Linked DNA regions of Lepisosteus oculatus. The protein of the gene in region 3 purifies or fractionates together with the protein of the main gene of each other region. This does not show direct contact. Links are inferred from orthologs where the notes say so. Each region holds a gene or a part of one and is shown on either strand. Other genes may lie near its edges.

Region 1 (8,008 bases), on a different chromosome or scaffold from region 3:
GCTGTTGTTTTACATTTCGAGGTTGCGATAACAACACGGATGCTACTGTCGCACCTGAGTGGGATCCGTCACTACGAGAAGGACGCAAAGAAAGTGAAGGAGGAAAAAGAGAAGGCGAACCGAGCATTAAAACAGCAGAGGGCGGCTGCAGCAGAAGATAAGGCCTTGGGGAGTCAGGAAGTTCATCCCAAAGACAGGAAGAACGGTGGCAGAGAGCCATCCAGCAGGGGCAACGACAGCACCAAGAGCACCAAGGACGCCAAGCAGGCCGCCAAAAAGGAGTTTGAGCAGGAAGAGTACTACCTGAAGGAGAAGTTTGACAGTGTCATCCAGGCCCTGGACCTGTTTAAAAATGACCCCCTGATTTTCAAGCCAGGTGACAGATGACGACTGTTCTATAAAATTGGGAAGGGTTGCTGGGTGAGACAGATAAACCATATCAAGTATCTTTAGGAAATGTGGCCGTTTTCACTATAAAATTCTCTTCCTTCTGATTCACACATGCTAATTCTGCCCAAGAAATGACATGTGTCTATGTGGTTATCTAGATATGTTTTTTTTTTCTTTTTTGGAACTGCTTATTGGTCTCTCTATCTTCTAAGAGAGGCACAGGGAGAAAGGCAGGTTATTTAAGTGTCTCAAAAAAGACCATGTATGGAATATTTCATTTAGGATATCCTTTCAAGAAAAGCTTTTTTTTTAGAGAACAGCGCTCCTTGAGTCCAAAGGCTTCAAGTGGCAATTGTGCATATGCATTTTTCTTCAGCATTTCCTAAAATTACATTTTGCAACTTTAAGGGTCCTCATTTTCCTTCGCACAGTTTTCTGCAGCTGCAGTTATCAAAAATGGTAGTTACCGTGTGGGGCTGAAGCAGCGCGCTGTCTGTGTCTGCAGGCAGCTCTTTCCTGTACTCCACACACGCCTTCACTCTGCTCAGCGCGGTGGTGGAGAGGGCAGCAGGACGGCCCTTCCTGGATCACATGATGAAGATGTTCCGGGAGCTGGGCATGCTGAACACCGTGCCGGAGGAGAACGACCGCATTATATACAACCGATCGAGGTAACGGAGAGACCTGCAAAGTCAAATTTCAAAGCCTGCTGTTTAAAAAAAAAAAGTCTAAATTCTTGTGGTTTATTTTGCATGGTAAGGTTTGCTTTTTGTTGAAAATATTGCACTAATGCTGAGCACTAAGCATTCAGTGCCACACATGGTATTACATCTTTCAATTACAGCTTCAATTTCTCATTCCATTCATTTCTCACTCTAAGGTTTCCGATCACACCTGGTTTGATTTCACTACTTTGGCTTCTTATCCATAAGTTCATTTCTTTTAAAAATTAAAACTCCCAAAACCCGAACCACTGTCTATGACCAAAGGATTGTCTTCATTGAGATTCTGTCACGTTAGCGTTGATCATTTCAGTTTCCAGTCACTGGTATCTAGATGACTGAACTCTTTTAGCTGTTCTGCATCTAAACTCTAAAAGCTGTGACCCCAGGGAAACACATATGGTTAATTTGCAACTTATTTGAGATCATTTATATTTTTGTTTTTTAATATTTGCAGTCTCTTTGGGCTGACTCAGATGATCTGTTTTTGTTTATTACTTCACACTGTGTAGTGAATTGGGATGCCATCTGCATATGATTTGCATGGCACAAACTAAAATGTTGGACGTCAACAAACCCTAAAGATCTGCAATGCAAATAAAATTGCAACAGTGCTTTTTATAGTTTCACATTAAGGGAATATGTGCCTGTAAATTTTGGCAGCTGTTTACTATGCCATAATGTGGGAAAATGTCATGTTAATTGATTTCTGGGAAAACTGGCCCTGGTGTCAGTGTGTGCCCTGCGATGGACTGGCATCCTATCCAGGGTGGATCCTGTCTAGTGCCTGTTGCTCACCAGGATAGGCTCGGGCTCCCCTGCGACCATGGATTGGAAAAAGCAGTTCGAAAATCGATGGATACAAGAGTGGTGGTTAGCATAACAGCTGCAGGGTACTACAAGTTGATCCAATTCTGGTTCTCTGTGTCGGGTCCATGTACTGTCTGTTTTTCTGTTGACTTTTGCCAGGGTGCTCTGGTTTCCTCCCATCATCCAGAGACATGCAAGTTATGTTTACGTCTTATGAGTTTGTCCCCCTGAGAAAAGCAGAGGGGTTGTACTCGTTGTTAGTGACTCGGGAGCAGAGCAGCTCTGGTATGTCACTCTCCCCTGTGACTGGTCCTGTTTTTGGGACGGCTCTAAGCAAGCAGGAGAGAAAGCGTTGAAAGGCTGATTAAGGAAACCCATGTGGATGAGTATTAGATCTCATTAACTTCTCATTAAATGAGAACATTACTTGTCTTTAAGTGGGAATCTAACACCATCTGTGTTTTTTTTTCCCCTCTTTGCAGGTTTTATCATTTCAACAAAAAAGGCCGCATTGTGAACTGCCCTTATGTGGACAACTCCTACAAATGGGCAGGGGGAGGGTTCCTGTCCACTGTTGGTGACTTGCTGGTGTTTGGCAACGCCATGCTTTACAGCTACCAAATGGCGCATGTTAAGGATGGCAGAGGCCTCCTGCCGGGCTACCTCAAGCCCGAAACGGCCAAAGCCATGTGGACCCCTGTGGATGGAACTGAAGGATCCTGGGATAAGGATGGGCAGTATGCAATGGGCTGGCTGGTGGTGGAGGAGCAGCAGCAGTTTGGACAGTGCAGGAAAAGGCGGCACTATGTTTCACACACAGGGGGAGCTGTAGGGGCCAGTAGTGTGTTGTTAGTCCTGCCCTTCAACCTGGCCCAGAGCGAGGGACAGACATTGGCTCCTCCACAGGGCATCGTGGTGACTATTATCAGTAACATGCAGTCTGCCGGTCTCAACAGCACTGCCCTGAAGATCGCTCTGCAGTTCGAGAAAGCCAGGAATGCTTGAGAGAGCACAGGAGGCTGTCTTTGTGCAGCTGGTGCACCAATCATTTTGAAGTAAAAATGCTCGTATTTGAGGTCTTTTCTGTATTCGCAAGATTGGTATCTTTTGCAGTATTAAAGGAAGAAGAGGATTCAATTTTTAATGTCATTTTAAATACATCTAAAAACTGCTTTAACAGTGGAAAACACGTGGCTAAAAAAAAACATTTTATTGTTGAAAAGGCATTTTTTAAAACTTCAGCATACCTTTATGTTTAATCTGTCCGAGTCTGATCCATTAAAAAAGTTTTTTGTCCACTGACTGTTCATGTTTTACACATGCTGGGATCACAGAAGAGTCTGAATCGATGTACAGTACAGAAGAATTAGGATAGCGCCACGGTTACTGCTGCCAGCTCACAGCTCCAGGGCGGTGGATTCAATTCTAGATTGGGGTCCCTTTTTTGTGGGGTTTGCATTCTCCCTTTGTTCTCGTGGGTACTTGCTCGGTGCTCCAGTTTCCTCTCGCCTGCCAAAGACATGCTGGATAGGTCAATGGCATCTCTACATTGAACCCCCTGTGCTTGTGTGGATGCCCTTCAGCTGTCACCCTATAAAGAGTGTGTGTGTTTCTGGGACAGGCTCAGGGTGGATGTGACCCTCTCCAGGAATGCGTGGCTTTCTCTCAGTGAATAGGTGATCATTCCCATGTACAAAAACAGAGTAATGTCAGAATCTGCCTTTCCTACCTTGAATACTGACTCCCTCATTGAAAAATGTAAGCTTCTCACGACAGTTCTGTAGTAACTCCTGACATACACTAAGTTCCTAAGGAATAGAAACTATGGCCATGAAGTGTAGGACGATATTGTAGTTCCGCAAGTGCCTCTCCATGGTTATCTGCATGTGTTTTGAGTTGTGCACTGATTATAGACTTAGCCCAAAAATATTGCATTTAACTGAGCCCCAGAAATGTTAGTTTGCTGAGAGAAACATTTGACGCAGTTTCCTTGTCAGGAATGTGACCGTAGTATGAAATAATGATGAAATACCATGTTTTATGTGTAAAACTTTGACAGCTGGGGCATTCGTTTAGGAATTAAATTGACATACAATTGAAATGTATTAAAATTATTTTTAAGAAAAAGCCACATTTTTCTGGCACTCAACTTTACATTTCTAGTGTATGTTATGAGTGCCTGAGACTTAACAGATTTTCACATATTTGTCTTTTGATTGTTCTTGTACATTAATTCATCCAAGGAAATATGAATCTATGAACCATTTTACCTTCACTTATGACATCAATGTACATTTGTGTAACAAATCTACTTTGACAGCACTGCACAGAACAGAGAAAGTTGATCTAATCTTTAAAGATAACTTTTTGAATGAAATATATTTTAATTATTTTATTAGCACAACCCCAGCTCCCCATACATACTTACCAAGGCAATAATGCTGTCAGTGCACCTGCAGAGGTAAGGGAAATGCTGACTACGGTACTGTGGGTATTGCATGAGATTTAAGCTATCATTTGGTCTACATGAGAGACCTGTGGACTATAACCTCCTGTGAGGTGATCATGTGAGATTAAGATAATGAACTCCAATATAAATTACCTACATAAAGTTTGTAAATTTCAATGAAGGTATATTCGCTTTTGAATACTGATAATACCGTTGAGAAGGTTTTAACAGGGAGTAGGACTTCAGCAATATTTGTTTTGTACTCTAAAGTGATGACCACGGTTGTACACAGTAGTAAAATTACATCTCATTAGTGCACTGTACATTTATACGTGGTGGTCCTTGGTTTAAATGTAAAAATCTTTAATTTGAATTTGAATACGCAATTTCATTTTCGATCCAACGCTGTTTAGAACAAGTAAAATATTTAACATAATTATTTTTAATTTCCTTTGCAGCTTCTACAGTGTTTCCCGGTTTAATAATTTGAGAAATTGACCTGTCTACCACCTACAGTATATCTGGATCTAGATCCGTTAAAACTGCACTCCTGTTATCTTTGGGCACAGCTGTGGAGGAGATAAAATAATGTACCACTAGGCGGCAGTAAAGAAATAAAACGGAATAAAAATGGAATTGTTCACTTCCGATTGATGGTGAGTTCAGGGGTCAACATTGTTCCCTGGGGTTGTTTTAGACACTCGGAAGTGGAAGATGGATGCAAGTGGTGAATTTTCTATTTCAGCTCCAGAAAGTAAAGCTGGATATATACTTAGTAATGTGGCCGAGGTGGTGGAGAGGATTTTGACATTTGTACCGACCAAGTCACTTCTCCGTACCGCTTGGTAAGTTCAGATTCTCGTTTGCAGGACTTATTAACAGTCCCTGTAGACTTCCACTCAATGTTTTCTGCAGAACACGGAGCCTTGAGACAGCACATCGGCGATCTTGAGTTTTATTCATGAACCCGGCTATTTTTTTTAATCGAAAGATGTATGCATAAAGGAGATCAGAGAAAAGCTGCGTCTTGTGCTCTCTAAAGATGTAATGACTTAATTGTATTCAGAATCTCTTGTCTTGTTCATATCCTGTACTCGATCACGCTTGGGTTTTTGACTGCAGAGCCCTTTATATATGTAGTATGTTTGAGAGTTTCTTTGTATTTGTTTTTTTCGACATTTAAACGCAAAATACCAAGACGTCTTGCTTGTGAAAATGGGCATGTGATATATGTGATCTGGCACCGCAGGAAGTCTGCGGTTTCACTTACTTGCTGAAACATTGTAATCTGGTATTTTTGTATCTGCTTGGTACGCATTGATTAGCAGTACAGCGCATTGTCTTTACAAGCAAGCAAAAGGTTTGAAAAGACGTGATGTCTCATGCCTTTTAAGGAAAATCTGGTATTATAGATAAAAATTCCTGATGTACTCCAGCAATTGCATAATTCACCTTGAAAGTGAGCTGTTTTTACTCCCTTTCCTTGGTAACTGTAATCCTGAGGACAGTTGTCTCCTGTGATAGCTGTTTAACAGTAGAAAGCCGACCTATTTAGTGAGCATGATATTTTCACTACATCTTCCACCTTTGCTGCTTGAAAAGCACAAACAGGATTTCTCTTTAAATCCTTCAAAATCAAAAATGCTCTGGTAAACCAAATGCCTTTTGTTGTTGTTGCTGTGTTATAGAAGGACTTCTTTTGATATTTATTGTTTTGCCTTTGTGCTGCTGTCGGCTGTCCCGGTAGCGTCTGCAGACTCTGGAGGGACTGTGCCCGCAGGGTGCTGAGGACACAGCAGAAGATGACCTGGGTGTCCGGTACTGGCTCCTCCAGCTCGGATGGACATGTCTTGTTCAGGACTCTGGCAGAACAAGTAGAGGTAAGGGGACACTCCTCTGTGAGTGATCTCCCTGGCTAGCTCTGTTTTCGCAGTCACCTCCGTCCTGCACTCTTTTTTATGAACTATTTCATAAACTATTTCCCATATTAGATCACATTAACGTATAATGTCGAAGCAGGTGTTTGCAAGCAGTGTAGATTGGAAAGCAATTGCTTTGAGCTTTAAAGTCCTTTATCTGGGTTTCAGTAAAGGAATATAAATGTGCTGTTTTGCAGAATGTGTACTTGCTCCCCCGGACAGTCCTCCTGATGGCAGACAGCGACACCTTGAACAGACCTGATGGCACCTACAAGCAGAAGAAAGGTAACAGACTGGCTCATGAGGAGTCCTGCTCTGCAAGTATAATTTAAAAGTCTTGGTTTCCCGAAGGTGCTTTGATGTGAGGTTTATAATTTTTAATTAATAATTGCTTACACATCTATAGCACTTTTTTGGACACTCCACTTAAAGCGCTGTACAGGTAATGGGGATCCCCTCCACCCTCACCAGTGTGCAGCTCCACCTGGATGATGTGACAGCAGCCATAGTGCACCAGTACTCTCCCCACACACCAGCTCTCAGTGGGGAGGAGAGCAGAGTGATGAAGCCACTTCATAGATGGGGATTATTAGGAGGCCATGATTGGTGAGGGCCAATGGGAAGTTTTTTAATGACCACAGAGAGTCGGGACCTCGGTTTTACTTCTCATCTGAAGGACGGCGCCTTTTTACAGTATAGTGTCCCTGTCACTAACCTGGGGCATTAGGACCCACACAGACCTCAGGGTGAGCACACCCTACACTCCCCATTAACACCTCTTCCAGCAGCAACCTTGGTTTTTCCCAGGAGGTCTCCTATCCAGGTACTGCCCAGGCTCACACCTGCTGAGCTTCAGTGGGCTGCCAGTCGTGAGTTGAAGGATGACATGGCTGCTGGCTGTTTGGGGTTGTCATACTATTTGAAGTGTGCTTGGCTAATGAAGTCATAGAACAAAATCTAAAATGATTTTGATGCCATTGGACTCAAAGTACGTCTCAGCCAGCAGAAGTGCTCAGTTGGAGCGCAGGTTGAGCACTGTGTGCCAGGATGGCATCATGTTTAAACCTGGTGACATGACCCGTGGAGGCATGGAGGCACACAACTGCCAGAGCAGGGCAGTGCCTGGATCCTCACGATTCCCAGTGCCTCCGCAGCTCCTGTGACCAGCTCGAGCCTGGCAGGCCTGCAGTGAGTCAATAAAAGAGCCGGCCCTCCCGGTCCTCCTGCACCAGGCCAGAAGCATGCGCCCATCAGAGGAGTGTGTCTCCAGACAGGAGGTGCTCCCCATGTGGACACAGGGTTTATTGCAAGAGAACTGCGCCTTAAAACAGGTGCTGATTCAAAAATAGGTAGGCACACAACAACAACAAAAAAAGTCAATGCAAAATTGAATTAAAAAAAAAGGACATTTTAAATACCCTTGAGCGAAATGTAAATGTAAAACAGACAATGGAGAAGTCATGGTAGATTTCTTCTGCTGTTTCACCTTAGCTGTAGTGTTGTGTGGACACAGACGTAATGTTGCATGAATAGCAGAACTCAGATTCATTAGAATATCCCACTGTTTCTGCAGGTTTAATTTTGTGGGCATACATAAATTACTCCACTGGCCGAAACTCTTTGAAAATGTGTATAATACGAAACCTAGGAATTATGTCTAATATTTCTGGTAATTAATATTGAGCGAGTCTCATTTAACATAATTTTATGTTATCAGA
Region 2 (7,538 bases), on a different chromosome or scaffold from region 3:
TAATTTAAAACTGCCACACCCCAACTAGCACTTGCAGGCATAATGATAGTTAATAAGTAAAAGTACAAATTAACACAGAGACACATTCATTTTTCAAGCTCGTATTATTAAGAAAACCTGTATTCCATGTCCAGAAGGTAAATAAAAGTACACAAAACAAGAATCTTTCACCCTAGGTGGTAACAGCTGTCCCATTTCCATTCTACAGTTAACAAAAAACCTTGCAGTAAAATCAGTTTGTAGTTTGTCCATACAAAAACTATTATATAGAATGTGCCATGCTTTCATGCTCAGTGAAACAAAGAAAATCATTTATAAACTTCCAACTGAAATTTGATAGTGTGCCCTTTAGATACTGCTACATTTCCAGTAGAGATCTCATTTTCAGAATAGCATGACCCGGAAGAAAATGGCTTAACTACACTGTTTTTCAGCGTTTAAAGCCACACCCCTCTACTCAAGACACCAATTCGTCCTCCAATTCTCACAAGCATAACAGGGATTAATTTCTGTTTGTAGTACACAACACTTTGTAACTCATGCCATTACTATAAAAAAGAACTCAGTTACTGGTAATTTTTTTACTAGCATTTTCCTAGAATTATGCACTTGGTAAACATGGAGTACCTCTTGTGCTAAGGAATGCAAAACCAAACACTTTAACCCTCTCCTGATCATTCTAAATAAGGAAGCATTTAAAATTTTGTTTACTTAAAGCAAGATAAACTTCTAAATAAAAAACAGATTATCTGAATAGGGGACAGAAGGTTTTTGGCTGCCTCCTGTTGAGTGAAAAGGTATTGTTCAGTAAGGTGGAAGAATAAATGGTATCATAAAGTAATCTTAAGCTAATTTTTAAAAAAAGCACAAATACATTTTTTGCCGTTTATCAGCATTTGAGAAATGCATGTAGTTCTAATGCATTTTGCGGCTCAACTATAGATTAACCTTAAGCCCTCTGGACTAGTCATTGTGGGCTGCAAAGTGATTATTTTTAGGGTTAATGCTAAAGAATTCACAGATGTGTCGCACTTCTGCGTTTGTTTCTAAACGCAAACTCAGTTACTAATGGAACCAGCTGTTTCCATTCCTGATTTTTTCAGGTCTTTCTCTCAGCCTTAACGTTTTGTTATAAATCAGTTCCTATTAACTGGGGAGGAAATGAAGTCTACTCGGACACCAAGCCCCTAAGAGCTAACTGGGGACTGTGAGGCCGGTAACGTTATTCCACCCAAAGTGGTCGAGGGCGCAGCTCCAAAAACCCGCAGGGGGCTGCATTCACGGCTGAGTGCAGTTTACTTGCGACGCAAAAGTGGTGTATTAGTACTCAAGTTCTTGTTTTTAACCTCAGCATCCGTGTAGGTTGTACAATACAATTACACGTATTGAAGGCACATCTTACATCCGACACTTTTGTAAATCATGCATTCCAAATAAAATGTCTGTTCTTCTTCTAGTTTTTAATACAGGTTCCATGCGTAAAAACACACACGGTAAACCGTCAGACTAAAATAATTGTATCCTTCTTTAATAACCTGATCCATTCACCAAGGGAAACAACAGCACTGACTCGGGGACCCCTATATATTTCACAACTGAATTAACCTACAAGCTCAGAAGGAGGTCACCTGTTTCGATGGGTACAACATAAGATTGTGTCATATTAAGAGAAAGCTGTCCCACTGAGAAAAAACGAAAGAGTATATTTCAATGGAAAGCCTTGCATTGTACTTAAAATGCGACTCAACTGGAAAGGGCTACTACTACCAACCCTACGCAGGGGAATCGTTTAAGCAATTACATTGTATACGCCGTCAAACATTTGTTGCATTTCGTTCGCTTATAAATTAACTGCGAAGTAACAAAAACAACACCGTTAAATTTACAAATATTCCTTTAAATCGACTTTAACAACGGGCAGATTCTGATACTTAAAGGCAAACAAAAAGCACTCGCAAAGACGGCGGAGAAAGAAACTAATACTGACACGAACAACGTTGTTTAAAATACCTAGAAACGACACCAGTACCAACCAAACCCTTTTATCTTTGCAGCGAGGGCAGAGTGGTCCGGTTTTCAACAGTTTACGCGGAACCCACCGGTCTCGTCTTCCTCTCCGGAGCCCAGGTTGGATTTCAATGAAAAGGGATACACCGGAGGAAAGCGCGGTGCACGCTGTGCTCCCAAGCGAGGTCACTAGACTACAGTTCAGCACCCCACGCAAACAAATCCACTATTTCCATACTGACTGCGAGCAAAAGAAAAAAATAAAACACATCTATGGGACCGTTAGAGAACACTTCGCATTCAGTAGTTTCGTGCAAATATTCGTCACTTGATGACAAGCTGAAAAGAAGTAATGAGTGACGACTTCACAAATCAACGGTCCTATTGCATCTGGACTATAATTGAGCCCTATGAAACTGTACTCCACAGACATCTATTGACGCTATTGGAATGTAAATGGTTTTTAAACCTTCCACAGGCGTGCAACGCCGTACTTTATTTTATATATATATATACGAAGGTGGGAGATCCGGCTCAAATAATAATAAAAAAAAAACGTTTTACACTTCACATGGAGCATTTGAGCAACATCTCATTGTGACATTTCTCTCTGATTCTTACCTGTTGCGACTTCAGTTTATTTCCAGAGAATGCCTATTTTGTTGCAAAACACAGATAAACGGAAAATCCGCACTTCGCGTTTAAAAAGTCCTCAGTGCATTTATGAGAGTAAACGGTAACACCCCTCCGACTTTAACCAGACCTGCGGGTTTTTCCCCCCCTCAGTTACAAGCTCCTATTACCGTAGTTGATGCGCGGTTACAGCAGGACTGCAGACAAACACTTCGCCGCCATAGAGCAGAAAAGAAGAGGAATTTTCTTTGGGAATTACTCGACCGGCAAGGCCAATTTCGAGGCACAATGACAACGAGAAGTTCAAAAACCGAGCAGAAATGAAGAAAATATCGAACATATAATTGTTTGGGTATTTTTCCTCAGGCAGGTTAAAAGACAACTTGTCTTCTCTTCTCTTCTGGAAGGGTCTTCTGGGGTGTAATTGGATCCTGTGGTTCCGCTCTACGCATTAATCCAATTACTGGATTTAACCCTATAGGTGCCGATGCTAATTGTGAAGAGGATAATGCCACTGTTTTATCGATTCAGAATTTTGAATGATTAGGCATCGTTTTGTATATTGCATCACAAGAGCTTCTTATTTTCTGAATATAGTCCAGCTGGAAAAGGTGTTCCGCGGGAACATCCCGGAGACGTACTCAATTTAATGCCACGGAGGATTTTCCGCTCAGGTTCAATATTAAGCAGTCTCTGTACTTTAGAACTTAATTTTCTAAAATAAATGACATCATTAAGAAAAACAGCACTGCAGAGTGTCAGTAATTTACAACGCCTAAAAGTCAAACTGTGAATGGTCAGCAAAGATGGGAATTAAAGAAATGTTACACACTGCAGGAGACCCTTTGACCCAGCTGGTTTGGTAGTTAGTAGGTAATTAATCTGAGAGTCTCATTCTTCTGTTTCAGAGAGAGAAGCATACTTTTCAAGGTAGCTGAAGGGGAATAGCTCATCTTTCTGTTCCTGAATGAGTTTTAAGTGCATTTTCCTGCTGACATAGATAATACCTTACTTTCAGTCCTCTTCGGTGTGCTCATAAATCAGTGGTTCCCTATCCTGGTGCTGATGACCAACACACCTGTTTGTTTTTGTTCCAGCTGAGCCCTCAGTGACACAATTGAACCCTGTAATAGAACTGCTTCTGACTGCTTATTGTCTTAATTAAAAAAAAACATAGAAAATGCATAAGGATGAAAGTACCAAAAATGGCATCTACTTCCAAGGTCAAGATAGAAGCTATCAGACTGGACTATTTATAGATGAGGAGTGGAATGATTTATGACAAAATAATTGATTTGGTGATCTGTCTCTTTCAGGTGTTTATCAAACACCCTTACACAAATAGCCCTCAATCATTTTTGGATTTATTCTACAATATTACCAGTGTGAGTTCAAACTTTTAAGGCTTTAAGGCTACCTACAAAAAACAGTGGACTGGACTTTCCTAGAGTTTCAGTTTCCAGGCACCCAGGATTCATATTTCTGTATTGTCTTTTGGAATGATCTTAACGGCCCGGTTGTCTTTAAGTCTACGTGGTTCTAATTTGAATCAATCTGCTCCACAAATATTGCATACAACCTTGATCATATATATCAGCACCATCATGTGTGAACTTCAGCTACCTGAGTCTTCAGTCTACGCTTTGATTGTCTAATGTCCCTGAATATCGATGATAATTCCGATCAATCTGATCTTCCCTAACACACCTGAAAACTGGTGATATGTGATATATTTTTAAACGTAGTACTCACAATAACCTTGATTTGTCTTAAAACCTTTACGAAATTGGCCAAAATGTGCATAATGATTAGTAGACAATTGTCGGAAAGTTGTCTTCCGCTGAAAGAAAAAAAGGGGGACGGAAAAGTGGATGTATTAGTACTGCCACCTGCTGGATTAACAAAGAGAAAATGTTACAAAACAACCCGGTCGTGACGTCATTAAAAACAAAATCGATCGTGTCTGCGTCCATGTGTTAGGCAAATGAGCGCTTAGTATCGATCACCCTCTAAAAAATCACCATAAAGAACCTCATTCAAGCGTCTTTTACAAAGGATTAGGTGACGTATGACTGCACGGGCTTTGTTTTAAGATGGGAATTTTGCTGTTCGTAATTTTATTTAATGATGGTGTTACGAAACTATAGGAGGGGAAGTAGAACCCAAATTGCTTGTTAAAAATAGAAGTGCATGTGTTTTTTTTAAACATCGAAAAGCTTGCAGTGCTTTTGAATTGTTATTGTTGTCTAAGAATGCTTTGAGAGGCTAAATGCATACATTTCTTCTGCATTCCTGCACTTTTTGTAAGAGCAACTAGTCCCTTATGTTAAAGCTGGATATCTCCCGTATTCTCACGTTATTGCAAAGTTATGTTCTTCAGTCAGATACCAGGAAAATGCTAAGCGTTTAGTTAAACGAGGTCTAGTAGTATTTTGTAGGAATACATTACACAGAGCACTGACTTGAGTGTGAACTTATTTAACCCTTCATGCACAGAAATAGTTTTCCTGTTCCTTTTTATCCGACACACCAGGTGAACAGCACAAGGAAAGCGATGGCCAAAAAGAAAGTTCTCCTGGACAGCACGGTGCCCAAACGCCAAAAGGAAAGGCCATCCACCTCTCGGAGCAAACGAGCAGAGCCTTCGGAAGAACCCCTCTCAAGAAAGCTGAAGAAGAAAAAGGAAGGCGTTCCGGGGAAAGCAGGTGTGTGACTGGAGCTCATGGCTTTGTCTCAAGTTGAATTTCCCCAAGCAGGGACGGTTCAGCAATAAGGCATGCCTGCCCAGCTCCCCAACAAGTAGTGGGCGGAATGAGACTGCGGCGCCAGCGGTTCCCCTCTGAGTTGCTGCTCCATCTGCTGGTGCTTGTGCTCAAGCAATCAGTACCAGAAGACAAGGGAATGTTACTTAAAAAACGATGTGCATGGTTGTTACAAAGCGACCTTTTCCACTGCTCCTTACTGTCGTTTCCTCTGACTTTATGGAATTAGCCAGAGGATATTCCTGTACATGCGGTCTCTTCGATTTATTTACACTTTAAATGACTTTGGTTTTAGAAATGTAAGAATTACCATAAACAGCCAGTGGGATTTGACTAATGTCATGTACTGAAAAAAGTAAAATCCTGGCTAATTCTTTACAAAGTTCGAATAACTCAAACTTGTAGTGGTATGAGAGTATTGCTTTGATTTTGCTTTTCGATTGTTTTTTTTTAACTTCTAAATTTCAGTGGGACATTTAAAAAAGACAGGTTTCCCCAGGTTTAACCCCGATAATGGTTATGTTTAGTGGTAGGTTTGGCGAAAATGATGGTTTTTGTAATCATTCTGGTCTTGTTCTTATTTCAGAAGCAAGATCTGAACTCCAGAATAACAGAGAGAGTGTGGGGTTTCAGAAGGCGGCCAGGCAGAACAGTATTGTCCATTATGTGTATAAACACTCACTGGGTCAGAACATCCAGTCACAGATGCGCCAGGTTTGAATTTCTTTTTAGAGCTGCCGTCTAAAGAACGTTTTTTTTCCCCTTTTTGTCAGAAAGATAAAATGATTTTGTAAGGTATAGCAGAATAATGGTAACTCTCTTAGTGATTTTATCAAGCCATGACCGCTCCCTGTTACACAAACATTTGACATATAGTCAGTCACATACGGAGCGAAAAAGAAAAAAAAAAGTGTGCTGTTTCTGTCTCCGGACATCGGAGTTGTATCTTAAGAACACACATTTGAAGCGTGCTTGTGAGAAATAACTGCACTGCCTGTGCCATCCCTCTGTAAATCTGGCCTCTTTTCTTGTCTGGAAGACCGATGTGGCTCTCCTGTCTCTCCAGTGCCTACAACAGCCATTCCTGCGCTTTCTGAACTCCTACAGTCTCTTCCATGCAGCCAGCCCATTCGATCGCAGGGTGACGTGCCTGGAGTGGCACCCAACGTGCCCCAGCACCCTGGCAGTAGGCTCCAAGGGGGGGGACATAGTGTTGTTGGACTACGAAATGTCAAAGAATACCAAGTTCATCCAAGGGGTGAGTGGTTTCTCTCCAGGCCTGGCAGGTATATACAGTATGCTGTGGTTTTGTCTGGGTGTGAATTCCATTCCAAGAATGTAGTTAGCACACCGTGATCAGTGTCCTGAGATATTTTCCTTTTGTGTTTTTTTTTATATTTGTTTAGATGGGAGCTGGGGGCTCCATAACAGACATGAAGTTTAACCCTTTCAATCCCAGTCAGCTGTTTACATCGTCTGTCGGAGGCACGACCTCTCTGCAGGATTTTACAGGCAACACTATTAAAGTTTTTGCCAGCACTCATCAGTGGGAGTAAGAAAGTTTTGATGCAGTTTTTTAACTTATTGTTGACTTTTAAAAATGCCGAAGGGCAAAACTAGACACTTGTACAGTGAATCTTAGTATAGTTTAATGGTGTGTCATGACTTACTATATATTTAATTATTGCCTCAGATCCTTTAAGTCTGCTGTAAGATTTTGTTTTTCAATGGAGGTAGATGCTTCTGAAAATACACTAACACTCTGGGAAGCAGCTACGTAATACTCCAGCTTCTCCAGCTGTTTTGGTAAATCTTTGCTATTTTATGGAATTCTATGGTCATTTTTTCATAGCTGAAGCAGAAATAAAAAATAAATCAAGCATCAGCAAGTCCTGTCTGGCCATGGTAAAGCAGAAATATTCTTAGTATTCATGTCAATTGTGAGCACTGCAGATCTTTAGCTATATTCAGATTTCTGACCAATTTCCTTATTCTTTCCAAAGCAGTGAACTGAAATACACAGTCCAGCTGAGCTGGTCTTTTGTTTTCCTGTGTGGCATTTACATTGAACCTAAGTAATGCCATGATGAACCAGTTTTTAGAAGCGCTACTGAACTTGAAAATCCATGTTTTTTT
Region 3 (7,880 bases):
TAAAGGCCTTAAAAGAAACACCTTAAAAATATTAAAAGGTGTTGATGTTTTACATGTCATTGTGAATGACTGTAGTTTCCCTTGGACTCATAAAGGTCAGCTGTCCACGACAACAACAACAAAAAAAAAAACAAATCAAAGTGTTCCCCCACCTGGACACACTGTCCATTGCATTTTTATGTCTTTTTAGTCCGCATCAACGAAAAAAAAACCCTGAAACTTATATTCTGAAAGAAGGCACAAACCACAATTATTGTACAAGACTGGATCACAATACACATAAGAGCTAAAATAAAGGAAACACCTATATAAACTGTCTTCACAGTGTGTTGGGCCTCGTGGGCTGCCAGAACAGCTTCAATTAATTCAATACGCTTTGCTTTGAAGTGTCAAGTTTTATCTGAACATAAGAAACGTCTCAAATGAGATGAGCGTGTTCCATAGTACTGCAACCCTCCTGAACCTTACTATTCTTGGACAGTGAGACACGAACCAGAGGACGAGGGCGGAAATTAAATCGATGTAAAGTTGAAAACAAAAACAGGAGGCACCTCCGTGTGCAGGGGGTTGTGGGAATATGGAACAGCTAAACCCTCAAATCAAAATCCAATCAAAGTTTATTTATCAAATGCACAACAACACAGCGTGCAGCAGTAGTTGCTGGCAATGAAATGTCTTTTCTACGAGCTCACAATAGAAATTGAATAAAATAAACTCAGAGAAAACTCAATATGAATAGAGCTGCTATGTGTCCATGGTGTATGCAATGTATTATGTCCAAGTAGTGCAGTATGATGAATACAATGAGAACTGTATGTCCATGTAGCCATTACGGGTGATATGCTAAAGGAGCTGCAGGTTGGCTATTTAGCAGTCTTATTGCCTGGAGGTAGAAGCTGTTCCATAGTCTGTTGAATCCTGCATGTTATTGAAGCGTCTTTCATCAAACGATGAGATCCGTGGATCAATGAACTACCAAACCAGGCTGGATGGGCAGAACGGCCTCCTCTCTCAGGCGGGGAGGACCCTGGCGTGGAATGCCGGAGCACGGACCACCGCAGGACCTCGGCAAGCCGAGAGGGAGACTGAGGTGCGAGATTTTCTTAAACCACGCCACCGGAAAAAAAAACAAGCCAGAAACGCGGCCGAGCGCCCGTGTCTCCGACGTCGGAGAAGGCCGGAGCGCCCCGCTGACCTGCTTGGCGTTCTCGATGTACGCCGCCATGTACTCGTAGGCGGCAGCCTGGGCGTTCACCCGGGTCTCCGTGCCCTCCACAGGCAGGGCGAAGCTGTCCATGATCATCATGGTCTCCCCGTCCACCTTGCCCAGCATCAGGCCCATCACCTCCAGGTTGCCGCCGGACCTGGCGTGCATGACCATCTTCAGCAGGGCCAGGGCCGAGATCTTGCAGTACTTGAAGTAGTGGTGGCTGCAAAACACGCACGGCCAAACGGAGAGAACTGCGGTGAGCCACCTGTCCCCCCCGTCGGATTATTTCAGTGCTAATAATCAGACACTGCCCCTGGTCTCTGAGGCATCAATCTCTAGAAGTCAACACCAGATGAGGTGCTGCTTTTAGGCTGGGAGGGACAAAGACAATAATAATAATTTCTTACACTTATATAGTGCTTTTCTGGACACTCCACTCAAAGCGCTTTACAGTAATGGGGACTCCCCTCCACCACCACCAGTGTGCAGCCCCACCTGGATGATGCGACGGCAGCCATAGTGCACCAGTACTCTCCCCACACACCAGCTCTCAGTGGGGAGGAGAACAGAGAGATGAAGCCAATTCATAGATTATTCTTAGGTCATGATTGGTAAAGGCCAATGGGAAATTTGACCAGGACACCTACTCTTTTTGAGAAACGCCCTGGGATTTTTAATGACCACTGAGAGTCAAGACCTCGGTTTAACGTCACATCCGAAAGATGGCGCCCACTACAGTATAGTGTTTCTCCAGTATACCGTGGCATCAGGACCCCACACAGATCGCTGGTCCCACTAACACCACTTCCAGCAGCAACCATAACTTCCCAGGTCGTCTCCTATCCAGGTACTGACCAAACTCAACCCTGCTGAGCTTTACTGGGTAGCCAGCTGCAGGGTGATATGGCTGCCGAGCCAGTTCAATTCATTCAGCTCAATACGTATCACTGGGCACTGCCGGCAGTGCTCTGGTACTCGGCACTGGAGAAGCCCGACCTCTCTCTACAAAATCGATTGTGAGGATAATCAGAGCCTAACGAATGCAACCCATCGTATTATGTTCCAGGGAAATTGAAAAGGAAACATTATGAAACTTTTCTTTTTATTTTAAACTGTCAGCTTTTTTAAAAGCACGATCAAGAAATAATCAAGAGATCCTCATCCAGAAAACCGCAAGCGGAGAGACCTTTGACCAAACCATACTGCGTTATGAAATTTGCGAATTTCTGCAAGTGTACGAGTTTTGGCTAGCAAATCATTTAATAAACACGCATTAAATAATCTTTTGTCTCCTTTTTTTTTTTACTAAGAAAAAGCGGTAAGAAAATGAATCAAAAGAAAACAACAGTGAAAGCACTGAAACGGGCCACCTAACAGTTACGTTACAAAACGCATCGCGAACAGAGGTTTGTATGCATTTTTTAAAAAGAAACTCACTCTTTTGTCCACGGTTTCGCAGCTAGGATCTCTTGCTGTTGTTTCTTGTCGTATTTATAAATTTCATCAATGCTCTGAACTTCCTGCATACTGTTGGAGAGCTCCCATGTCTTCTGCGCCATACCGCCCCCGGCCATCTTCCCAGCTGAAACGCTCTCTATCTCTGTGCGTTAGATCAATTAAACCTGCCTCGCCCTTCGGAAGAAGATAACCCCCCTACAAAACACCCTTGAGAACAACGGAAATGTAATTTTTCTTGCGATGTTGTAGCTAAACTTCGCTAACGATCGCCGGCGCTACCTAACAACACAGCCATGACACGGACAACTACCACCGAGCCCACCCTGGGGTGGTCTGAAAATGACAAGAACCCGAAAATGGATGCCGACAACCACAATCACTATGTGTAAAAAATACAAATACAAAACTAAGAATTTTCTCAGTCTTTAAGTTATCGAAAAATCTCTATGTGCAACGCATTCTAAAGAATATTACAACAACAAAAAAAGAAACCCGTGACTTCAATGGTTCGGTCCAGACGGCTTCGGTGGGACGCGAGCGAGCCCTTGAGGTGATAGAGCCCCCTGCTGGCGGCTGTCTGCAGCTGCACATTTAGTTTCCAGAAAAGGAATAAATAAGGATTTCCTCCCAGTCCAGAAACATGCTGTCAGGCCAACTGATGGGGTGTTTCTGTCTGTGTCTTCCCTGTGATGGACTGGCCCGAGGTATACTCTGTCTTGTCCCTGTAGCTTGCTGACACAGGATCTGGATCATCTGCGATCCTGAATTGGAAGAAGCAGTTAGCAAGTGGATGGAGGGATGTAATACATGAATATATTTTAAATTCATATTAGTTTCGTTCATTACTCCCTGGTGGCAGAGTCTAACATAACAATCCAACAAAAACGAACATCATCAACAAAGAAGACGGTACAACTGTGTTTCAGGAGATGAGTTTTTTTTTTACATTGCTTGAGAGTGAGATTGCAAAGATGATAAGATAAAACAGACAAACTGGGCTAACGTTTCCAATACAATAATGTGTGTTAAAACAAGCCTGGTCAGTACCTGGATGGGAGACTCCTGGGAAAAACTAAGGTTGCTTCTGGAAGAGGTAATAATAATAATTATAATTAATAATTGCTTACACTTATATAGCGTTTTTTGGATACTCCACTCAAAGCGCTTTACAGGTAATGGGGACTCCCCTCCACCACCACGCTCACCACACACAAGCTCTCAGTGGGGAGGAGAACAGAGTGATGAAGCCAATTCATATTTGGGGATTATTAGGAGGCCATGATTGATAAGAGCCAATGGGAAATTTTGGCCAGGGCGCCAAAGAGGTGTTAGTGGGGCCAGCAGGGGTCGCTCACCCTGCAGTCTATGTGGGTCCTAAAGCCCCAGTATAGTGACGGGGACACTATACTGTAAAAAAGGCGCTGTCCTTCGGATGAGATGTAAACAGAGGTCCTGATTCTTTGTGTTCATTCAAAATCCCAGCGTTTTTCACGAAAAGAGCAGGGGTGTTTCCCCAGTGTCCTGGCCAAATTTCCCATTGGCCTTTATCAATCATGGCCTCCTAACGATCCCCGCCTCTAAACTGGCTTCATTACTCTGCTCTCCTCCCCACTGAGAGCTGGTGTCTGGGGAGTGTACCGGTGCACTGTGGCTGCCATCCCATCATCCAGGTGGGGCTGCACACTGGTGGTGGTGGAGGGGAGTCCCCATTACCTGTAAAGTGCTTTGAGTGGAGTGTGCAGAAACGTGCTACAGAAGTGCAAGCAATTATTATTAATTCTATCCCAGAGGATTGAGAGGATCCACGTCATCCACAGCAAGCAAGCTAGAATGGACCAACGGCCTCCTCTCGGAGAGCAGAGTGAAATTTAAATGGTATGAGCCCCCGCTCTTTGGAACAGTTCAGTTCAGTTTATTTGTCAGTTTATTTGTCATATCCACAAGTGCAATGAAATGCTTATTTGCACGTCTGCTCCGATACCAGGACATTAAGGAAACACCAACACAGAACAGCAGCAGCAGCGACAACAACATACAGTACAACTGACATACCGACGTACCCACGTAAATAACATACAACGTAAATAGAAGTCAGTGGCTCTGGACCTGCTTTAAACATACAGTGACGGAGAATTGCTTTAATAAAGCAGATGTCATTTTTTATTGATAAAGGCTGGAAGAATCCGTTTGAAAAACAAAAAAGAGATCTAGACTTGAAAGAAATCAGACGTGAATTTGATCCACAAATAACCCCAAACACAGGGGATCAAAGATCACCAGGATCAAAGAACAGGGTCACCAGGATCCCTTATGGGACAGCAGTGTATAAGTGTCCCTCCAGTCCACTAGGGGGTGCTGTGTAATTCCCTGTGCTCTGGTGTTTGAGGTTCTCCCGCCCCTCGCTCTTCTTCCCTGCAGCACCGGGCGGCAGTTCCCTGCTGCTGCTGCTGACAAGTTGCCCTGCGGGCTTGTTGCTGCTGGGCGGCGGATCCGCTGTGTTATTCGTTGAAACCCGGCGGCCGTAAAACCACTCAGGACGTGGACACCTTCGTGTGTTGTGTTTTTTTTCTCCCAGGGGAGGATGCGCGCTGTTCCGCTGAGGATACGTTGAACTTGTCGTACGGTACGGGACCTTTTCAAAAACATGCAGTTTGTGTTCGAGTCAGTAACGTTGAACTGTCGTGTTTAATACTTTGCTGAAGGGGGTTGTTGTGTCTGGAGCGCCCTACTTATCTCGAATGATCCTCCCCGGAACCGCATATATTTATTGCTAAAGTGAGAAGTCTACGTTTTAAATGATAAGTTTCCTGACGGGGATGTTTGTCAACTATTTGTCGATAAGCTGCAGTTAATATTAGCGGTTGTGCTCGGCGCCGCGAAGTGGCCTAAGACGTTGTGTACAGTGGTTGCCTAACAACGGGTATTAAAGAGGCAGTGGCACTGATTTCTACGTTATTTTTTAAATTTTATTTCATTGGAAATAATCTGAAGACAGTGATGCCCCTGCTTTTTTAAGCTTTTTTTTCTGAAGACTTAATTTACGTTAGTATTAAAACAAATTGAGCGACTTAAAATTTAAATATTTACGCCGTTTCACAAAATAGTACGGCAAGTATTCAGGCCAATTTCACACAAACTTAGAAACCGACAGGGGTGTCCCGGTATATCCACATCTGTTCACGCTTGTTAGCAGAGCTGCATGATTTGTGTTTTTGTTCTACAGGAGCTGTGCTGGGTCTTACTGCTTTGCTATGTGGTCTGTTGGAAGGAATGGTTTTATAAAGGTGACTTTGAGATTCCCAGTGTCGCATTTAAGGTTTACGTGTTGTGCGTAATGGTGAAGGTGGGCTGTTTTCATTCCAAAAAAGTGTTAAGTAACTGATGTCCCAAATGTATTAAGGCAGGTCAAGCATTCTTATCAGAAGGGGCAGTTAATGTAACTGGCACTTCTACTACCTAGAAAAACAGCCAGTTACGTTTTTTATTGCTTTCTTTGGAGGTTGTTTTCCCAAAAGTCGATTACATCTTGAAACAACAGGTTCTACCCCCAGCTGTCTGTACCGTATGTATAATGACCTTTATGTTCTGTATTTTGGGGAAGGGTTCATTTAGCCAAAACGTCTTCCGAGTTCAGGTCTTTTAACCTTGAGAGTAAAGACTGCTGAGCGCTTTGACAGTAAGTGTGAGTAGTGCTCTTCAGTGATTTCTTTCCCCCTCCATTTGTGTTTTTGACATTGCACATGATTCCTTATAGATACCTTCACAGATATCAGGAGGAGCAGGAGTACTTTTGGAAGGGGGGAATTATGTGAGGAAGTGCAAAAGGAATAAAGAACTAACCTGTGAACTTAACGATCCAGGCTGATTAAATTGGCTTCTGGCATTTTGACTTTGCTGGTAAAGCAGTTTTGAATGCCTTTGAAGAAGACGCTTATCTGGGTTATAACTCTCCCAGTGTTCAGCTTACTTGGAAGTGAATACGTGGAAAAGCAGTACTTTTTTCTTTAAAAAAAAGGTAACTTAATAGAAATGTTCTTACAATACTGTGTTTTCTCCCATGTCTTTAAAAAGCCTGATTTCTAGATACATCTACATTGCATATTGAGTGACTCATCTGTTTTCTTTAATTAGATTAATACTTATAGTAGTCATAGAGCCAAAGTGTAATCAGAGAAAAGTGCTTTGTTCTGCAGTAAGTCCCATCTTCCAGAAGCAGAAGCTGAGAATCTTAGTAGTGTCTAAGATAATTTTGTCCAGTGCTGCTTTAACAAAGTGCATGTGTCTGTGTTGCTGCATGTTAAAATATGTAACAGTGCATTGTACGCATGAACACGAATGAGTGCCAAGCCCAGTACAGTGCAGTATACAGTACATCTAAAGGCCACGCTGGCATTTCATTGTTTACTTTGGTGGTCATGGTGAGCAGGTTAGTCATCAATTCGAATTCTAGGGTTGTAGAAGATCTACATATTTTGTTTGTGGAGAGCAAGGGCACAAAAGTTTACATGTTTCCTGAATACATTTAAAATATCCAAAGTAGAATATGTTGCTGCATTTTGTGTCAGGCACCCTGGCGTTCTAGGGTATCATTTCTTTACTCTTTGTATTACTGTATGTGGCATCAGTGATGTGTCTCCAACAGTGCATATCGAGCACCTTTTCATTTTAGCCAAGATGTGAATAAGGATCTTTGTTCAGTAATCACTAATTTTATTCCGGAAAGGCAAAACATCTTTTTGGGCTGTATTTCAATAATTCTTTATAAAATCTCACATCAATATTTCCAGTCAAGGGAAAGTAATGTTTTTGTTTAAAATAACTTTGCATTGAGAGAGAAGATGTCTTAATTGTGTTCTACATATTAAAGATAGGTGAACACTGCAAAAGATACTGTGCTGTACAGACAATGGCATGTGCATTCACAAGACAGCTGTTATGTGGCAAAAGAGAATATCTAATAAAATCAATAATTTATTTGACAAGGCAATACTCATTTGTACCAGGGCATTTTACTGAAACAATCGGATTGTGGTATTTTTCTTAAGGGCACAGCAGCAGTGCGTCACCCAAGATGTGAACCTGCGGCCTTCCAGTTACATGTCCAGAACCCCACCTGCTGCTTTACGCTCCTGCCCCTTGGAACATGCAGAGTACAGCTTAGTACCTTGACTAAGTGGATAGCTGTGTTGATATTTTGTGTTTCTCATGTAGG
Region 4 (7,140 bases), on a different chromosome or scaffold from region 3:
GGTCCTCAAGAGGGCGCTGTTCTCTCGTCCCCCCCCCCCCCCTGCAGGTCTTGGCCGATTTCCCCCACACCACAGCAGTTCTCACCGTGGACTACCTGCTGGACCTTTTCCCCGAAATCAAGCCCCGCTCCTTCTCCATCGCCTCCTCCCTGCTGGTAAGGCTCTGCGCCGCCCATCCCATTCGCCTGCAGTTCCAAAAAATACCTCCCTGCTTTTTATAAAGTCATTTCTGTGCTCATTTGAGATGAGAGAGAGATCACTTTATCAGCCCTACAGAAGTTTTTGCATTAGGAATTTGTCTTTTCGCAGACCCCAGCTTGCTCTCCATGAGACACACAGACAGGGAGAGAAGCTGGGGGTCAGAGCGCAGGGTCAGCCATCGTACAGCGCCCCTGGAGCAGTTGGGGTGAAGGACCTTGCTCAGGGGCCCAAAAGAGTAGGATTCCTCTGCCGGCTGCGGGATTTGAACCGGCAACCTCCCAGCAACAAGGGCAGATCCTGAGCCACAGAGCCACTGCTCCGCTGCTCAAGTGGTGGTCGGCCGCAGGCTCAAATTTAATGAAATGTCAGTTAAGTAATGACGCGACATTGAGGTCGGTGAAGCGCCGGTTGAATGCAGAGCCATATCAAACCTGGCCAAAGAGGATAGAGGGTTGGTGGATGTTGATGAGTTGATGCTATTGAAACCTCTCAAGGGATCAAGGTCAAGACAGGGCACACGGGAGGCGGGGCAGATCTTCCCGGCACTCCTGGCTCTCCTGTTCTCCCGCAGGCTCACCCTGACCGGATCCAGGTGCTGGTGGCGGTGGTGCAGTACAGGACCAAGCTCCACAAGCCACGCAGGGGCCTCTGTTCGTCCTGGCTGGCCTACCTGGACCCCACACAGAGTAAAGTGAAGCGTGAAGCCTTGCGACGCGACGCGGTGCAGATCTGTCGCGTGACCGCCGAGCAGCGTGTCGTGGACTGGGGATGTGCTAGAATCCTGACAGTTTTAGAAGAAAACCCGGGCTGGTGTTGCATTTCTGACGGAGAACGCAGTCCAGCCGCAGATTGTCTGTCTGTGGGATTCTGGGATTTCCCAGCATTCCCTTCCTGTGGCCTCGTGTCGCTCTTATCTGACTGCGGAATGTCCCATCTTGCAGGGGAGGTGCGCGTCCCCCTGTGGGTGAAGAAAGGAGGCCTGAGGTTCCCCAGTGACGCCGACACCCCTGTGATAATGGTAGGGCCCGGCACCGGGGTGGCCCCCTTCCGAGCCGCCCTGCAGGAGAGGACGGCCCTGGACAGGACAGGTCGGTCCTGCCTCCCCTGCGGCTCTCCTCCCTTCTCCCTGTAGCTTTCCGTTCTGGATTCGTTCCGGAATTCCCACTGTATCTCCTCATTTTTCTTCCCCCCCCTCAGGGAACGTTCTGTTTTTTGGCTGTCGCTCGGAGTCCCGGGATTTCTACTGCCGCTCCGAGTGGGAGGAGATGCAGAAGGCCGGGCGTCTGACGCTCTTCACGGCTTTCTCTCGGGACCAGGTAGGCCGTTTACACGGCTCTTTCCCATACAGAGCAGATCGTCTACCAGAGCAGCCCCACCTGTGCAGCAGGTCAGGGGGAGAAGAGAGAAACGTCTCCAGTGGTTGAGTTCAGAGGGGATTTTAGAGTAGGCAGGTTGTTTAAGCCCCGAGTAGAATTGAGTTAGGACATTGGTGTACACCACTACTATTCTGACTCTCCAGTGACTGATTGTCCAGGACCTGGTGTAACTTCTTACCCAGAGGGGTGGCACCACCTCCTACAGCGCTGTGTCCGCAGTGACCATACTGGGGCGCCGGTTTAGAAATTCTGGCCCAGAGAGAAGAGCACCACCTGCTGGTCCACCAACACCACCTGCTTCTCAGTGATCTCAAATTCCAGTGCTGACCTGACCACACCAGGCTACTAGATCAGTGTTACCAATGTCTTCCTCCTTCCCCCCACACTCACACTCTCCAGAGTGCTTTGTTGCTTCAGTCTTGCGGTAGACTGTACCTGCCTCTCATGATCAGTCTGTACAGTACTGAGTGGTGCCGTCCAGTAAGCTACTGACAACCAATGAGCAGGATATACTGAAGCTCTTTCTCTAGTTAGTAACTGTTCTTATGTTTTCATGATGAAGTCCTAGAATGGCAGAGTGCAGAGGACAATGCAGAACAATACTGTAAGCAGTACTTGAGTATAGTGCGGTATATTACAGTGCAATAAAACAAGGTAACAGTGCAGTGTATTACAGGCTGAAAAGCAGAGAACAGCAAAGTGCGTTAGTGTCAGGTTCACTATAACGCAGCCTAGTGCCGTAGAGAGCATGGCCTTGCAGTGTAGTCTGGTGTGACGCCGCTCTGGAGGGGCCTGCCCTCAGTGCAGTGAGGGGCGGGGCAGCAGGGCTCACCTCTGGCTGTGCCTGCAGGAGGAGAAGGTGTACGTGCAGCATCTCGTGCGCCAGCAGGCCGGGCTCCTCTGGGACCTCATCGCCAACCGGGCCGCCCACGTCTACATCGCCGGGTGAGTCCGCCACGAACAATCCTGAAATATTCTGAGACGGCCATGTATACTTTCACTATGCTTGACCGCATTGTTCAGAATACAATTTACAGCCATTTCAAATGACATCAGGAAAATATATTACATTCCCTAAGATCTGATTTGGGGTGCGTTACAAACACACAAAAAAGAACATGAACAGAAATAAAATGCCACTCAGAACACTGACCTGCAAGGCTCTGAATAATCTGGTGTTTCCCAGCTCTCTCTCACCCTCCCTTCCATACGCTGTGTTGTTTGCACGCCGTGCCCAGCAGTAAATACCCCCGGTGTTGGGGCGCCCTCCCTGCGTCTCTTCGAGAGGCAGGTTCTTGGACTGTTTTCTTAAATCTGAACCTAAAACTCCGCTTTTTTGCGGGGGGGCTTTGTCTGCTTGTCTTACAGTGTGTCCTGCAAGGTCTGGTTTTATTTTTTTATTGTATTTTTAAAAATGCTGATCCTTACATATAGCATCCTTGGGGTTTGGAAAGGTGCCCTATATAAATTATAAATTTCTTCTTCTTATTATTATTAAAGAGCTCAGTGCAACGATGGCATGCCTTTAATACCTCAGCAGAGATCTAGCGCCGTCCTGTACAGCTCCTAAATCGCTCATCGCCAGCTCTGGCGGTCTCTCCTCTGTGTGTCCCCGGTCTCCTCCGGCCTCAGCAATGCCAAACAGATGCCGGCGGCTGTAGCCGATGCCCTGAAAGCCGTGTTCCAGGCGGAGGGGGGTCTCTCGGACCCGGACGCCGAGGCGCTGCTGTGTCAGCTGGAGAGGTCGGGCCGCTTTCAGACCGAGACCTGGTCGTGACCCGGTGCCGGGCGGAGGGTCACGCGTCGTGGGCGGTGAGCAGCAGCAGGGCGGCCCGCCGGGTGGCGCAGTGCTGGAGGTGCTTCCGTCTGAAGGGGTTCCCCTGCTCAGAGACTGGGGGCTGCATTGAAGAAGCACCCCCTATTCCAGCAGCCGTCGCCTGCTGTGCCACAGAACAGCCGCCGGCCGCGAAGGAAACACGTGTGAGGTCTAAACGCACGACTGCAAGGATCCCTGTAACTGAGTGCGATTACAGTGCACATACAGCATACGTGTGATCATATTAATGTAACTTTTATTAAATGATTTTTTTTATTTGTCTACTTATGAATTGCTTTTAAGGCTCTGGGGAGCACAGACCAATCATATGTTGTCTCAATGTGCTTTACTGGTGTTCTGGATTGATGTCTGTACACTGAATTTAAATAAACTGTTTAACTGTGCAATTCACTGGCATCTGGTTCACGTTGTTTGATGCATACCGTGCGAGCAATCGCTGGTGTTTATTGGTTAACGAAAGCCGTTTTGCAACAGGCTCATTTTGTAGCAGGTAATCGTGACACCTGCAATCGAGTTAAACATCTAAAGAGAGAATTTTGTAAGATAATAGCGCAGAAATCGCGCACACGCCTCTTCCGAGACAGGTATATCTACGTTTCAAATCACACGTAATTTTATAATAGGCGAGTCTGCAGGGCGGACAAACTTGATAGCGGCACAAAAATACTTCCGGGACTCTATCCAATAGGCAGCCGAGTTTTAGATTCAATTAACTGAGACGTCCTCTGATTGGTCCGTCGGCAAACACGGACAGCTGCAGTGTTCGCATGCCTCCGCCAGTCCGCTAGTGGCGTTTTCGGGTCCTGTGTTGGTGAGTTTGTGCACGTTTTGTAAATAAATTCGTAGTAAATATCCATAATATGAGTATAACTGTTGAATACCCAAGCTGGTGAATACTTGCTGGAATAATAAGTTAATAAAATATGAATGTGCAGCTAGCGGGCTCGCTTCAGTACCTGCGGTCCCCTCTGGTAATCCTCGCCTGTGTATTTTTGAAACCCCTTCACCTCTAAAACAGGTTTCAGTTGCCATATTTAAGAGTTAACGCTCGGCTGCAATGATGCGTTTAATTAGACTGTTTGTGTGTGTGTCTGGTTTATAAAAGCGAAGACAGGCGGCGGTTTGAATTCGGCGTGTTTGCGGCCGGTGCTCGTTCTCCGCTGTTGTCCGTGCGGGTCCGAGAGATTCGTGAGGAATGACGGCGTGGGGTTATCAACAGTAGTTAATTTCAGTGTTTTTAAAAAGAGACCATTACGCACAGGTAGACCCGGGCCTGTTACTGTTTTAGCACATTGTCCGGAAGGTATGGCTTCATTCACGCAATCCGGAGTTACACTGTATTATTATTATTATTATTATTATTATTATTATTATTATTTTTATTATTATTGAGAGACAGGCTCACTGTTCCCCAGGCTGGGACAGGAGGTCACACACTGTATTATTATTATTGAGAGACAGGCTCACTGTCTGTTCCTCAGGCTGGGACAGGAGATCACACACTGTATTATTATTATTGAGAGACAGGCTCACTGTCTGTTCCTCAGGCTTGGACAGGAGGTCACACACTGTATTATTATTATTGAGAGACAGGCTCACTGTCTGTTCCTCAGGCTTGGACAGGAGGTCACACACTGTATTATTATTATTGAGAGACAGGCTCACTGTCTGTACCTCAGGCTGGGACAGGAGATCACACACTGTATTATTATTATTGAGAAACAGGCTCACTGTTCCCCAGGCTGGGACAGGCGATCACATACTGGGCTGCCAGTTCAACTGAGTTCCCTCCCCCTTCTCCCAGCAGGATTGGGAGTTGTTGTGATTCTGGTAGGTGTGGAAATTCTGGCGTTAGATTTGTACATTTGGGGAAGAATGTCTAATCCCAGAATATTTGTCTCGCAGTGCAGTAGGAAGTGCACCTCTGTCTCTATTTCTCCCCGCTGGCAGTGGGAGCACAGCCTGTCCTCTCTGGACAGCCAGGTCAGCCTGTGTCCAGTTTCTATGGCCAGGCTGTGGTCACTGAGCCTGTCCTCTCTGGACAGCCAGGTCAGCCTGTATCCAGTTTCTATGGCCAGGCTGTGGTCACTGAGCCTGTCCTCTCTGGACAGCCAGGTCTGCCTGTGTCCAGTTTCTATGGCCAGGCTGTGGTCACTGAGCCTGTACTTCGTCAGGGTCTGTTTCTTTTTGCTGTTTCTTATCTTGGTCAAATATTCGGCTAGTGTGTATTGTCCGTTTAGGGTTCTGTAGAATTCCAGTTTATGTTGTGTTTGTGTGTGTGTGACCCAGTGTGTTAGATATTGCTGTTTGATCTGTGCTGTGATGTGCTTGAGTCTGAGCTGTGGTGCTCTAGCAGTGCTGTCCTGAGGTTGGCTGCTGTCGGTGTGGCTCAGGTCAGTGAGCCTCAGGACCAGCTGGCTCTGGGGGCTCTGTTTTGGGCTCAGCAGAGTCTTGTTGTGGTAGGAGTTTGGGTCGCATGTGCAGAGTTTCTATGGAGTGTTTTTGCCATTGAGTGTAATCCTGGTCTGAGATTGGGCCACACACTTCACTGCTGTACAGGGCAATGGGATGGATTACACTACCAAATATTTGGAACCAGATTCTTGTTGGTTGATGTTCAAAAGCTTCCTTTTTATTGCGTAGAAAGCCCCGAGTGCCTTCTCCTTCAGTGCTTTCACTGACGGATCAAAATTCCCAGATGAGCTGATAGTCAGGCCGGTACAGTATGTGTAGCTGGATGTGTGCTTCACTGTGTGCATGCTGTTCAGTGTGAACTGGCACCTGTTTCCCTGAGATCTGGCTTTCTTCTGGAAAACCATGACTCTGCTCTTGTCCAGATTGACCGGCAGCGCCCAGGTCTGACAGTCCTGCTCCAGCAGTGCCAGGCTCTGCTGTTCTAGGTCCAGATGGGCTGGCAGTGCCCAGGTCTGACAGTCCTGCTCCAGCAGTGCCAGGCTCTGCTGTTCTGGGTCCAGATGGGCTGGCAGTGCCCAGGTCTGACAGTCCTGCTCCAGCAGTGCCAGGCTCTGCTGAACTGGGTTCAGATGGGCTGGCAGCGCCCAGGTCTGACAGTCCTGCTCCAGCAGTGCCAGGCTCTGCTGTTCTGGGTCCAGATGGGCTGGCAGTGCCCAGGTCTGACAGTCCTGCTCCAGCAGTGCCAGGCTCTGCTGTTCTGGGTCCAGATGGGCTGGCAGCACCCACGTCTGACAGTCCTGCTCCAGCAGTGCCAGGCTCTGCTGGTCTGGGTCCAGATGGGTTGGCAGTGCCCAGGTCTGACAGTCCTGCTCCAGCAGTGCCAGGCTCTGTTGTTTTGGATCCAGATGGGCTGGCAGCACCCAGGTCTGACAGTCCTGCTCCAGCAGTGCCAGGCTCTGCTGGTCTGGTTCCAGATGGTCTGACAGTGCTGCTCCAGCAGTGCCAGGCTCTACTGGTCTGGGTCCAGATGGGCTGGCAGTGCCCAGGTCTGACAGTCCTTCTCCAGCAGTGCCAGGCTCTGCTGAACTGGGTACAGATGGGCTGGCAGTGTGCAGATCTGACAGTCCTGCTCCAGCAGTGCCAGGCTCTGCTGTTCTGGGTCCAGATGGACTGGCAGCGCGCAGGTCTGACAGTCCTCCAGCAGTGCCAGGCTCTGCTGTAGCCCCTGTTCTTCGGGCGACACCAGGACCAGGTCATCTACATAGAGCAGGAACTTGATCTCTGTGTGATGTAGTGTGAGACCAGGTGCTG

Evidence for each region.
Region 1: the proteins of cops5 (region 3) and fbxo22 purify together in Homo sapiens (affinity purification with mass spectrometry; 3 studies listed by BioGRID and IntAct, with this or other methods). This does not show direct contact. The link is inferred for Lepisosteus oculatus from reciprocal best matches to the Homo sapiens genes COPS5 and FBXO22.
Region 2: the proteins of cops5 (region 3) and ddb2 purify together in Homo sapiens (affinity purification with mass spectrometry; 10 studies listed by BioGRID and IntAct, counting the BioPlex papers as one, with this or other methods). This does not show direct contact. The link is inferred for Lepisosteus oculatus from reciprocal best matches to the Homo sapiens genes COPS5 and DDB2.
Region 4: the proteins of cops5 (region 3) and asb6 purify together in Homo sapiens (affinity purification with mass spectrometry; 3 studies listed by BioGRID and IntAct, with this or other methods). This does not show direct contact. The link is inferred for Lepisosteus oculatus from reciprocal best matches to the Homo sapiens genes COPS5 and ASB6.

Annotation. Positions count from the first base shown.
Region 1 is NC_090700.1:57,540,015-57,548,022, reverse strand, and holds the start of fbxo22 (F-box only protein 22), read left to right. Parts: upstream 1-5,005; 5' UTR 5,006-5,085; coding exon 5,086-5,216; intron 5,217-6,118; coding exon 6,119-6,251; intron 6,252-6,487; coding exon 6,488-6,575; intron 6,576-8,008. Other genes in the region: lactb (serine beta-lactamase-like protein LACTB, mitochondrial), read left to right, coding at 22-376, 896-1,061, 2,405-2,927. UniProt on the Homo sapiens protein: Substrate-recognition component of the SCF (SKP1-CUL1-F-box protein)-type E3 ubiquitin ligase complex that is implicated in the control of various cellular processes such as cell cycle control, transcriptional regulation, DNA damage repair, and apoptosis.
Region 2 is NC_090716.1:4,973,909-4,981,446, reverse strand, and holds the start of ddb2 (DNA damage-binding protein 2), read left to right. Parts: upstream 1-4,534; 5' UTR 4,535-5,128; coding exon 5,129-5,345; intron 5,346-5,988; coding exon 5,989-6,116; intron 6,117-6,468; coding exon 6,469-6,660; intron 6,661-6,808; coding exon of another isoform or gene 6,809-6,954; intron 6,955-7,538.
Region 3 is NC_090701.1:51,534,469-51,542,348, forward strand, and holds the start of cops5 (COP9 signalosome complex subunit 5), read right to left. Parts: upstream 3,016-7,880; 5' UTR 2,785-3,015; coding exon 2,648-2,784; intron 1,431-2,647; coding exon 1,196-1,430; intron 1-1,195. UniProt on the Homo sapiens protein: Probable protease subunit of the COP9 signalosome complex (CSN), a complex involved in various cellular and developmental processes.
Region 4 is NC_090719.1:2,800,590-2,807,729, reverse strand, and holds the start of asb6 (ankyrin repeat and SOCS box protein 6), read left to right. Parts: upstream 1-4,128; 5' UTR 4,129-4,225; intron 4,226-7,140. Other genes in the region: ndor1 (NADPH-dependent diflavin oxidoreductase 1), read left to right, coding at 48-155, 773-1,289, 1,399-1,517, 2,428-2,522, 3,210-3,354. UniProt on the Homo sapiens protein: Probable substrate-recognition component of a SCF-like ECS (Elongin-Cullin-SOCS-box protein) E3 ubiquitin-protein ligase complex which mediates the ubiquitination and subsequent proteasomal degradation of target proteins.